2 linked regions of the Daphnia pulex genome follow. The protein of the gene in region 1 interacts with the protein of each later gene in a pairwise test. Links are inferred from orthologs where the notes say so. Each region holds a gene or a part of one and is shown on either strand. Other genes may lie near its edges.

The links.
Region 2: the proteins of brahma-associated protein of 60 kDa-like (region 1) and akirin-2-like interact in binary tests that used the Drosophila melanogaster proteins (3 or more experiments, as listed by UniProt). The link is inferred for Daphnia pulex from reciprocal best matches to the Drosophila melanogaster genes Bap60 and akirin.

What each region holds. Positions count from the first base shown.
Region 1 is NC_060018.1:7,203,812-7,208,289, reverse strand, and holds brahma-associated protein of 60 kDa-like, read right to left. Parts: upstream 3,083-4,478; 5' UTR 2,904-3,082; coding exon 2,820-2,903; intron 2,746-2,819; coding exon 2,528-2,745; intron 2,467-2,527; coding exon 2,304-2,466; intron 2,242-2,303; coding exon 1,756-2,241; intron 1,683-1,755; coding exon 1,537-1,682; intron 1,468-1,536; coding exon 1,344-1,467; intron 1,274-1,343; coding exon 1,136-1,273; intron 1,054-1,135; coding exon 898-1,053; 3' UTR 697-897; downstream 1-696. Other genes in the region: CCR4-NOT transcription complex subunit 9-like, read right to left, coding at 3,781-3,961, 4,028-4,478. UniProt on the Drosophila melanogaster protein: Involved in the recruitment and site-specific anchoring of the Brahma complex at specific promoter sites.
Region 2 is NC_060027.1:5,353,163-5,357,317, forward strand, and holds akirin-2-like, read right to left. Parts: upstream 2,724-4,155; 5' UTR 2,419-2,723; coding exon 2,247-2,418; intron 2,183-2,246; coding exon 1,932-2,182; intron 1,651-1,931; coding exon 1,488-1,650; intron 1,422-1,487; coding exon 1,411-1,421; 3' UTR 730-1,410; downstream 1-729. Other genes in the region: uncharacterized protein LOC124207045, read left to right, coding at 6-122, 207-473; dehydrodolichyl diphosphate synthase complex subunit nus1-like, read left to right, coding at 3,216-3,579, 3,658-3,789, 3,847-4,078, 4,140-4,155. UniProt on the Drosophila melanogaster protein: Molecular adapter that acts as a bridge between a variety of multiprotein complexes, and which is required for embryonic development and for normal innate immune response.

The sequences.
Region 1 (4,478 bases):
TGAGTCGGAGACATCACGAATCACGATCTACGTTCCACCACAGAATCGAATTGACGGCCGTTGTTCTTCCGTGTCATCTGTAGATAAATTAGAACTAGAATATTTTTTCACCGGCTACAGAGAACGAATTTTGATGAATTCTCTCTAAACACTCACGCAACACGACGGAACTCCACTGTGTAATTCAATCAACAAGCTATCTAATGAAAAGCGCAAATAAAGATACTTGGCGAATCAGATCAATTTATCAGTTTCCTACTACAACAATTTCTTCATCGAAGGAATATTGAACCGATCCCATGACCCCAATACTTATCGATTACTCAACAGTCCCTTGATAGTTTATAGTTTATTTGTTTTGAATGGGTCGGGCGTTCGAGCACAGTAGAAAAACCAGACTGATATTAATGCATCAATTACTACGAGTTTAGTAAAAATGTGTTCACCCATGGCATCATATGACTATTCTAAAATTATCAGATAGATCAGATGAGCCCTGCACTGCCTAAAATTTCCTTCTTAAATTTAAGCGAATTTAAGTTAAGGAAAAAGCGCTACCTAGATTTGGGACACACGGTAAAAATTGAAAAGCATAAACACAAAAACAAACAAACAAAAAAATTTAAAAAAAATAAAAATCGAGAGGTCTGAATCTCTTTACTTGCGTGGGTGGCAAACAATAGTAATGATGAAGTATTATTTTAAGACACCATGTATTTAGACCCAAATTAGGATTCACGATACTCGAAGAAAGTTAAAAGTTTCCTTGTTATTTTACCAGTCTGCAAATGCACGATAAGTAACTCGGGATTTTTCTTTTAATCTGCTGTCACTTGGTCACAGTTGGCTTACATAAACGATGTCCAACCAAAAGTTGTTTTCCTTAGTAGTAACATTCTAATTGTTACGAATGCCTAATGCCTGTTCCAATTCGGCACGCTTTTGTTGAACTTTGCTGTAAAAATATCGGCAAACGGCTTCTTGGGTCCAGCTTTGCTCGTAAAACTCTCCACGTCGCTCCTCTTCGGGATTTCCTACGATGTCAGTCATAGTCTGAAAACAAAAAACAAAACAAAAACACATCGTTTAAATTTATCCAACACATTTTTGTAAATTTTTTTATTTAGCTTTTTACCTTCAAATCCCTTGTTTGAGATAAGAGCCATTTGTTTATGAATTGCTGCGGATCTCGGGCAAATCCAAGGAAAAATTCTCGACTGATCTTCAGTTGATTAATGCTTTCAACCGTTTCGTGGATCTTGTTGTCTAAGCTCTACATCCACAAATTAAAAATTAGATATATCTTAACATGCCAAAGTAATTGACAGGAAGAAAAAAAAAACCTGAATTTCTTGCTGGCTTGCAGTAGAAAGCAAAAAATTATTCATCTGGGCTTTCAATGTATCATCAACTTCTACATCAATGTCATAGCAGGCAGTTTTTTTCTGATCTGCACTCTCCACACTGCTGTTGAAAGAAAAAAGTTATAAAATTAATATAAAATGGAAAATGGTCTCTTCTTTAATTTCTAAGTACCTTATCAAATGGTTGATAACAATTGGATCAGGGGGATGTAAGAGAGGATTCAATCTTTGTGGAATTTCAGCAAATTTCATTCTAGGACATCCAAATATTTGTTCCATATATTTGTCACAACGAATGAATTCTCTTTCTTGGTGATCCTAAGGTAGTAAGGAAGTAGAAAAAAAATTAGATTATTCTTGACACATGGCTTGTAACAGCTATGAATAATACCTGAAGTTTGTGAGTTTTAATGTACTGCCACAATGCAGAGATTACCATGGGTCTTGTTTGAGTGTGAATGCCAAGAAGACGAGCCAAACGCGAGTCGAGACGAAATTGCAGCGGTTGATAGTCGAGCAAAAGTAAGATGGTACACCGTACATTTCGATCTCCTGGTCGTTTTACTTGAAACCCATCCGTTTCTTGAGTAGTAGACGTTCGATGCCATTCCACAAGGTGGTTATCAGGCCCATACAAGTCTTTATCAAGCTCAATGACGAGAGATTTGAAAAACGAAGAAAACTTCCGTTTGACTTTATTGGGATCTGATTTGGCAGCATCATCCAGAAGTCGTCCTTCTACTCTCAGTTCCCAAGAAGCAACCCCGCTTCCTCCGCCAACATCTTCAGTATTATCCATTTCTCTAGCAGGGTAGAATGTGTTTGAGATGAAAATACGCAATTTTCGTTTTTGTTTCATGGGTCTTTTCAAAGCTTCCTGAAACGAAAGTATTAAAAGTATTACTGACACGTGTAAAAGAAATCTTTACTTCAACTTACTTGAATATCGAGACGTTTTCTCATAATAGTAGCATCCAATTTTCTTTCAAATGCCAATAAATCCATGTAAGCTTGAGATTCAGGAACCAAATCTCGAACTTTCTGTGGAAGAATCTTGTCTGCAAGCTTTTTCTTTTTCTTTGCACTGTTAGGGCCATATTCACTACATATAAACCATTAATACTTGGATGTTAAGGACACAAAGAAATAATCTGATTTCTTACAGTTTTCCTGTTTGATTAGGGGCTCTCATGTCACCAGGTCTCTTCCCTGGTCCCAAAGCTTGGGGGCTCATTCCGGGACCACCAGGCCTTACAGGCTGTCCACTATAGGAATTTGGAGGTGTTGGATTCCCAATCATGTTTGGTCTTTGACCCATCATTGTAGGACTTGCTGAAGAAGTAGAGTTTGGAGGGTTTTGAATTTGATTGAATGCCGGGCGCTATGATAAAATGAAAGTTGAATGACATCAAGGTTTGGTACTGTAAAATTGAAGACAACAGAAACTATACTTACAGGGTAATTTGGAGAGTTGAACCGCATAGAACTCCCCGGAGAAGGAAAGGGAGGTCTTCCTGTAGCTGCGTTCGTATTTTGCATTTTATAAAACCGTCAAAACGGCGATCGACACAATACACACCAAAAATTAAGATATACTTTTTCTTCGATTATTTACTTATTTAATTCTTAGTGTTCTTTTGCTTTTTTACGGATGAGATGAACGGTCGAACCTGCCGTTTGAAGCTTTGATTCGCCATCTGTTGACCGCGTCTATAAACCTCCCTCAACACCACGTAGCGGCCAAAAAGCATACAATTCAAGGTTTTTTTGTTTCTATAAAATGTACAAAAATTCAGCTTGGAATCTCTTGGAATGTTCAGAGGGTGCGGGTTGCGCGAACGAACTTGATATTATTTATTTTCCATTCCCATTATTCATTAATTTTCAGACCTAATTTCTTATTTTACGGTAGTGCACTCAGATAATATTCGATTATTTGCAAAAATACAAAATAGTAAGTAATTTTTCAATACTTGGACCAATTAAAAATCTAAGACTTAAAAGTTAGGACCAAAAGCAATCGTGGCAGTTAACAAAAACATTTTTATCGTCACAAAATATATTGCAACAGAGATAGATAGCTTGAACCGTCTTGACACTACACCCGTGGCCCCGTGCTACATCTTTCGCCTTGTCTTTCGCGTTAGTAAATTGAACCTAATTTTTACATAACACTTCAAATTTATATTGCGTATTGATACTGAACAAAAATGAAATCACCGTTTCGTGTATCCTCAAATGAACATCTTATAAGTAAATTTAACATTCTCTGAAACACGTGTTTATAATTTATATAATAAGTCAGCAGAAACCGCAAAATTAGTTGCAATAAAAAACAATACAGCAAGTTTGTATTATAATTCTGATCGATTTTTCGCTGAAGACAAGACAAGAGCATTCATTCTTTTTTAACATTTCATGGTTGAGTCATTGAGGGCAAACCGGTGATTCGGGGATCTACCATTCCATTAGTAGTTTCCAAATTTTTTAGAAGTTGCGCCATCCACTGTTTAGTTGACTTATCATCTTTAAGACATGTTGAGAAAGTGCTATCACGCAACTGATCAGGTAGGCATTGTCGCAACGCTTCACGAGCCCTAGAAAATATAGTCGAATTTTATATCAATACGAAAATTCCTTTTTGGTTTTTGCAAGTCCCTTACCTTGGATTGTCAGAAAGACGAAGATAACATCGGACAACGTGCTTCAAAAGACGAGCTGACTGTTCTTTGGCCAATGATAAAACCATTTTACCAAGTATCATTGCAACATGAGAAAAGCGCTCATAAGTTTGACAAATGTAAGCCAGACCAGTTTCATCCAAGAGAATTTTTTGAAGTATGAAAGTTGCAACAGTCTTGGACAGTTCAGATCCAGTTTCCATTATCCTCAAACACAATGGAATTATCTCTGTTGTAAGAAGAAAGTTGATAACCTCCTGTTCATCAGTTTTAACTAGAGCACCAATGACTCCCAAACTGGTCAAACGAAGATATTCAAATGGCCGTGTCTTGCTCACAGTGTGCAAAAAAGGGTAGAGGAATAATGGGATGTGAGCTTGCAGAAAAGCAGATCTGGTTTCTTGGTGTGAAGCAACACATTGCAGAAGAGCAA
Region 2 (4,155 bases), on another chromosome or scaffold:
TTTAGAGAACGGTTAGTTGCGGTCCGTCGTACGGCAGCCGAGCATGCTTTCCTGATCCTCTTGACCTCTGGGTATCGACTTATCAGAAGCTTCGCATCGACGACGAAATTGAGGAAGAAAAGGTAAACTAAAAGTACAATTTCTTGTACACAATTATATAATCTATTTGTAAACGTCGTATCTACCTATTCATTCGCATGGGATAGATTTCGCTGAAGAAAAATCGCCTACTTAAACGCCAGGAGTCTCGGAACATGAAGCGCCACAAACACCTAACAACGGAGTCATCGCAGATTTTCAGAAAACCACCAACATCAGACCCAGTGTTTTTGAATCGTAGATATAACAGACTTGTTCCTAAAGTGCTACCCAGTGTTCCAAAACTTGATAATGCCACATTGGAGGAGGCATTGGACCAACTCTGCCAACAAATTCAAGAGCAATTTAATTTGAATACCATACAGGTAAAATAAAGAACCAACCAATTCATTGTGTTTATTCAACTGAAACTCCGTTGCTATCTTTTGTCTGACAATCAAATAAAACATGATAACTATGAAAACTTTATCCCCTGTCATACCGGGATATAAAATATTAGGCTAGTTGCACGCAACATGATGGGAATTAATTGTATAGCGTAATTTTCTATTATCCTAACACATTTCTAAATAAACAGCATAAACTAAATTACAATAATAAACAGCTTAAGAGCTGTAACGAACAAACGTCTTAAGAGGTAGCCAAGTGTATTGTTTTTCCTCGATCCGCGCAATCAAAAGTCTTGTAATTGAAAACAAAATAGGAGAAAAAGGGAACGAAACAAATACCAACGCCAAGTTATTTCATTCAGATTAGAAAGACATCCGACCAAATAGGAAAGGTAGTAAATGTGGACATAATCCCCTTGGGCTTTACCATGCAGAGGATATAAGATAGAACTTGGCACTCATCCACATTTCACTTCGATTGCTACGTTTCCTCTACCATCAATCCAGATACTTTCGAGACTCGGAAGTGTTCTCATCGCAGGGTTAAAAGGTATATCAATATACTGGCAACATCGATGTCATCACCTCACGAGATAATCTTAACTAATCGGATGTTTTTTTTCTATTGCTAACGTTTGGAGCATCAAAGAAATACACGGCTACGACAATTTTCAAATGTATGACAAAACCACATTGAAGATCAGACGGCGGATTTTTTCCCCTTCTCTTTACATATACAAATAAGCGGATGATAACATTACGCGCGCTCGTACATGCCCGTGTGCATAGCGCGTGGGGAATATGTAAAGTTAGGAGCGAGGAAATTTTGCGCAATTAACCGTGGTGAATTGCGATTAGAAAAAAAAAACAAAAAAAACGAATTTATTAAAAAATAAGCTTTAGTTTATGCGCCTGTTGAATCTTATGACAAATCTGTAAATAGAAGAAAAAATTCAGTTAGGATAGAAACAATTTAGAAAGAATAAAAGTATATCTTACAAGATGGTGCCGAATTGGCCTCGAAACGCTTCTGTAGCTGGTCCTGAGTAAACTTAACAAATGCGTCGTATTGCTCGGCGAGTTTAAGTGTCAATACTCGATCATACTCCTCGCGAATTTCTGTTTCGCGCTCTTTTAACATTCTTTCACAAATGAGGCTCACCTGTAAAACAACAAGGGAATGTTACAAAATCTCAACTACAAAACACTTGTTTCTTCATCTCTTGAAAATATGTTTGAGGAATTGGAGGACAGAATGCCGTACATGACACATCCTGTTACTATGATACTCTATTTTTAATTTATGGCATGTGCTGGAGGAGGCCAAGCTAGACAACAGCAGAACGCTGAGTCTAGCAAAGACGCATGATACTGGAAACATCAAGCTCAAAGAAAACCAGCACTACCAACATGTAACACTAGAGAATCACAAACTGTTCCTACCTGCTTAAACGTGAACAAAGGTTTCTCTTTAGTTGAGCAGCTTTGACCAAAATTATTGGAGGAAGCCAGGGCCATCAATGGCGAAGGTGATCGAGGGCATGAGGCAGGAGATGCTGGACTGGTAGGGCTCTCACACATCAAACTGTCTTGATGCTGGCTGCTCATGTGCTGAGATTGATTTTGACTGAAATTAAGCTGTTTACGACGTTGAAAGCGTTTAACTTCCTCACGAACATTCGCCAAGATTTGCTCTAAAGTAGAATAACGTTAGTTAGAAATCATTCTGGTAAGACTTGGTTATGAAATCTCACATACCTGGTGTAAGCTTCGAAGAGACATCGCCAAAAGGAGAAGGTTCATGGCACTTTGTTGGTGGAGTTGTTGGAGGCATGCAAATTGGCATACATCTCCTTCGTTTCGGTGTACGACCACCGGGACTGTGCACAGGATCAAATTCCAAACTACGCTTCAAAGTAACACAAGCCATTTTGATTCAACGACTTTCTTTCTTAGGCAAGTTGCTATGCTATGCTTGAAAAGCAACAGAAAATAGTCAGCTGAATTACACAGGATGCGTTAAACGAATGGCTATCAAAAGATGCTAGTTCACAACAGATGCAATTGGAAATCCAATGAACACAAATTCGTCGTAATATATATGATAGACTGATGGATGAAATGGGATAATTCTTCGAAGAAATTTACCCAGCTTCGTCCATTAAGACAACTGCAGCTCTCTTGGTTTTCTATTGGTTACAAAAGTAGCTTTAGCCCTAGGGAGAGTGGTGAACAGCATTGCCAGTTTTATGTAGAGCTTCAATCCCCTAAGGGCAATTCCAGCCACGTCGACGGTCGACATTCGACAACCGAAGCCGATAAAAATTCATTTTTCCAGTTCATTTTATTATTCAGATGACCAAGATCGCAAGTTCACTTCTAAATTTACAAATTAGAACAAGTAAGTAAAATTCTAATGACAATTAATTTTCAGTAGAATATTTGTTGTGAGAAAAAACGTTTGAAGTCCGCGTCCGTAAAAACATAATTTTTGTTTTCTTGTAGGTGCTGTTTTGATAAAAAAGAGAAAATTATACCTGGAATCGAGCTAATAATTAGTTGTGTGATTTATGGCAATTAATTCAAGTGTTGCTATTTTTATTTGACATGTGTTAAAAAAGTGGCGTCGATGTAAACTGTTTGACATGCCAAAAGATCCAGCAGACCGGCATGTCATGTGACAAGTGGTCACCCTTTTTTAGTTAATTTAGTTAAATTCTATCGGTCATGGGGGTTCTTAATGTGCTCTATGTGATTCTTCATTTTATTATCACATATATTCACAACATTCATGTGGCGTTTAGTGAACTCATTGATCGTATCAAACCAGTTGTTAAGGATCGAACTTACCTCTGGCCAGCAGACTGCCATGTTTTGCTGAATGCCACGACTGTGAAATTAGGTGCAAATATAAAAGATGAACGTCTTCTCCTTCAAACTATTGGAAGTGACCTGAAACTACTTCAAAAACTTCCCATTCATGTTGCTTGCTTGTTTACTGAGAAGGATGTAAACATTGATAGAATAATAACTATTGTTGAGTGGTTTGTTAGTATGGGTGTCTATTGCATCAGTCTCTATGATCATGAAGGTATTTATTTATTACCTGTTTAATTAGTACCTTATTTTTCTAGCAAATTTGATTGATTCATAACTGTTAAAATTTTAGGTTGTCTGACTAGCTGTCATGATGAAATCAAAATCAAATTGAAAGGTGTTGCTGCCAATTTTCGCAATGGATTGAAATCCAAATCTGTTGCTGTTCATAAAGGCTTTGTAACAAAAGAATTCTACAATTTGGGTAATTGGATAGTATAGTAGTGAAATTCATTTTTCTAATTATGTTTTTTCTTTAAAGATTCTATCAATGTTTTCATCATGAATCAAAATGATGGCAAACCTATGTTTGCCCAAGTTACAAGGCAAATAGTGGGTGAATTAAATTATTGTCAAATTGATCAGGGTGTAGTGGAAAACACCATGAATCAATTCTACCCCAAAGACCCAGAGTTGATGTTACAGTTTGGCAGCTTACTGTCTAACACTACCCTAGGGTACTCCCCATGGCATCTTAGACTTACTCAGATGATGTAAGAAAAATATTGATAATTTTACTATCATTAGAATTTTATTTACCTTTTATCTTTACAGGCGTGTACCCAATCAC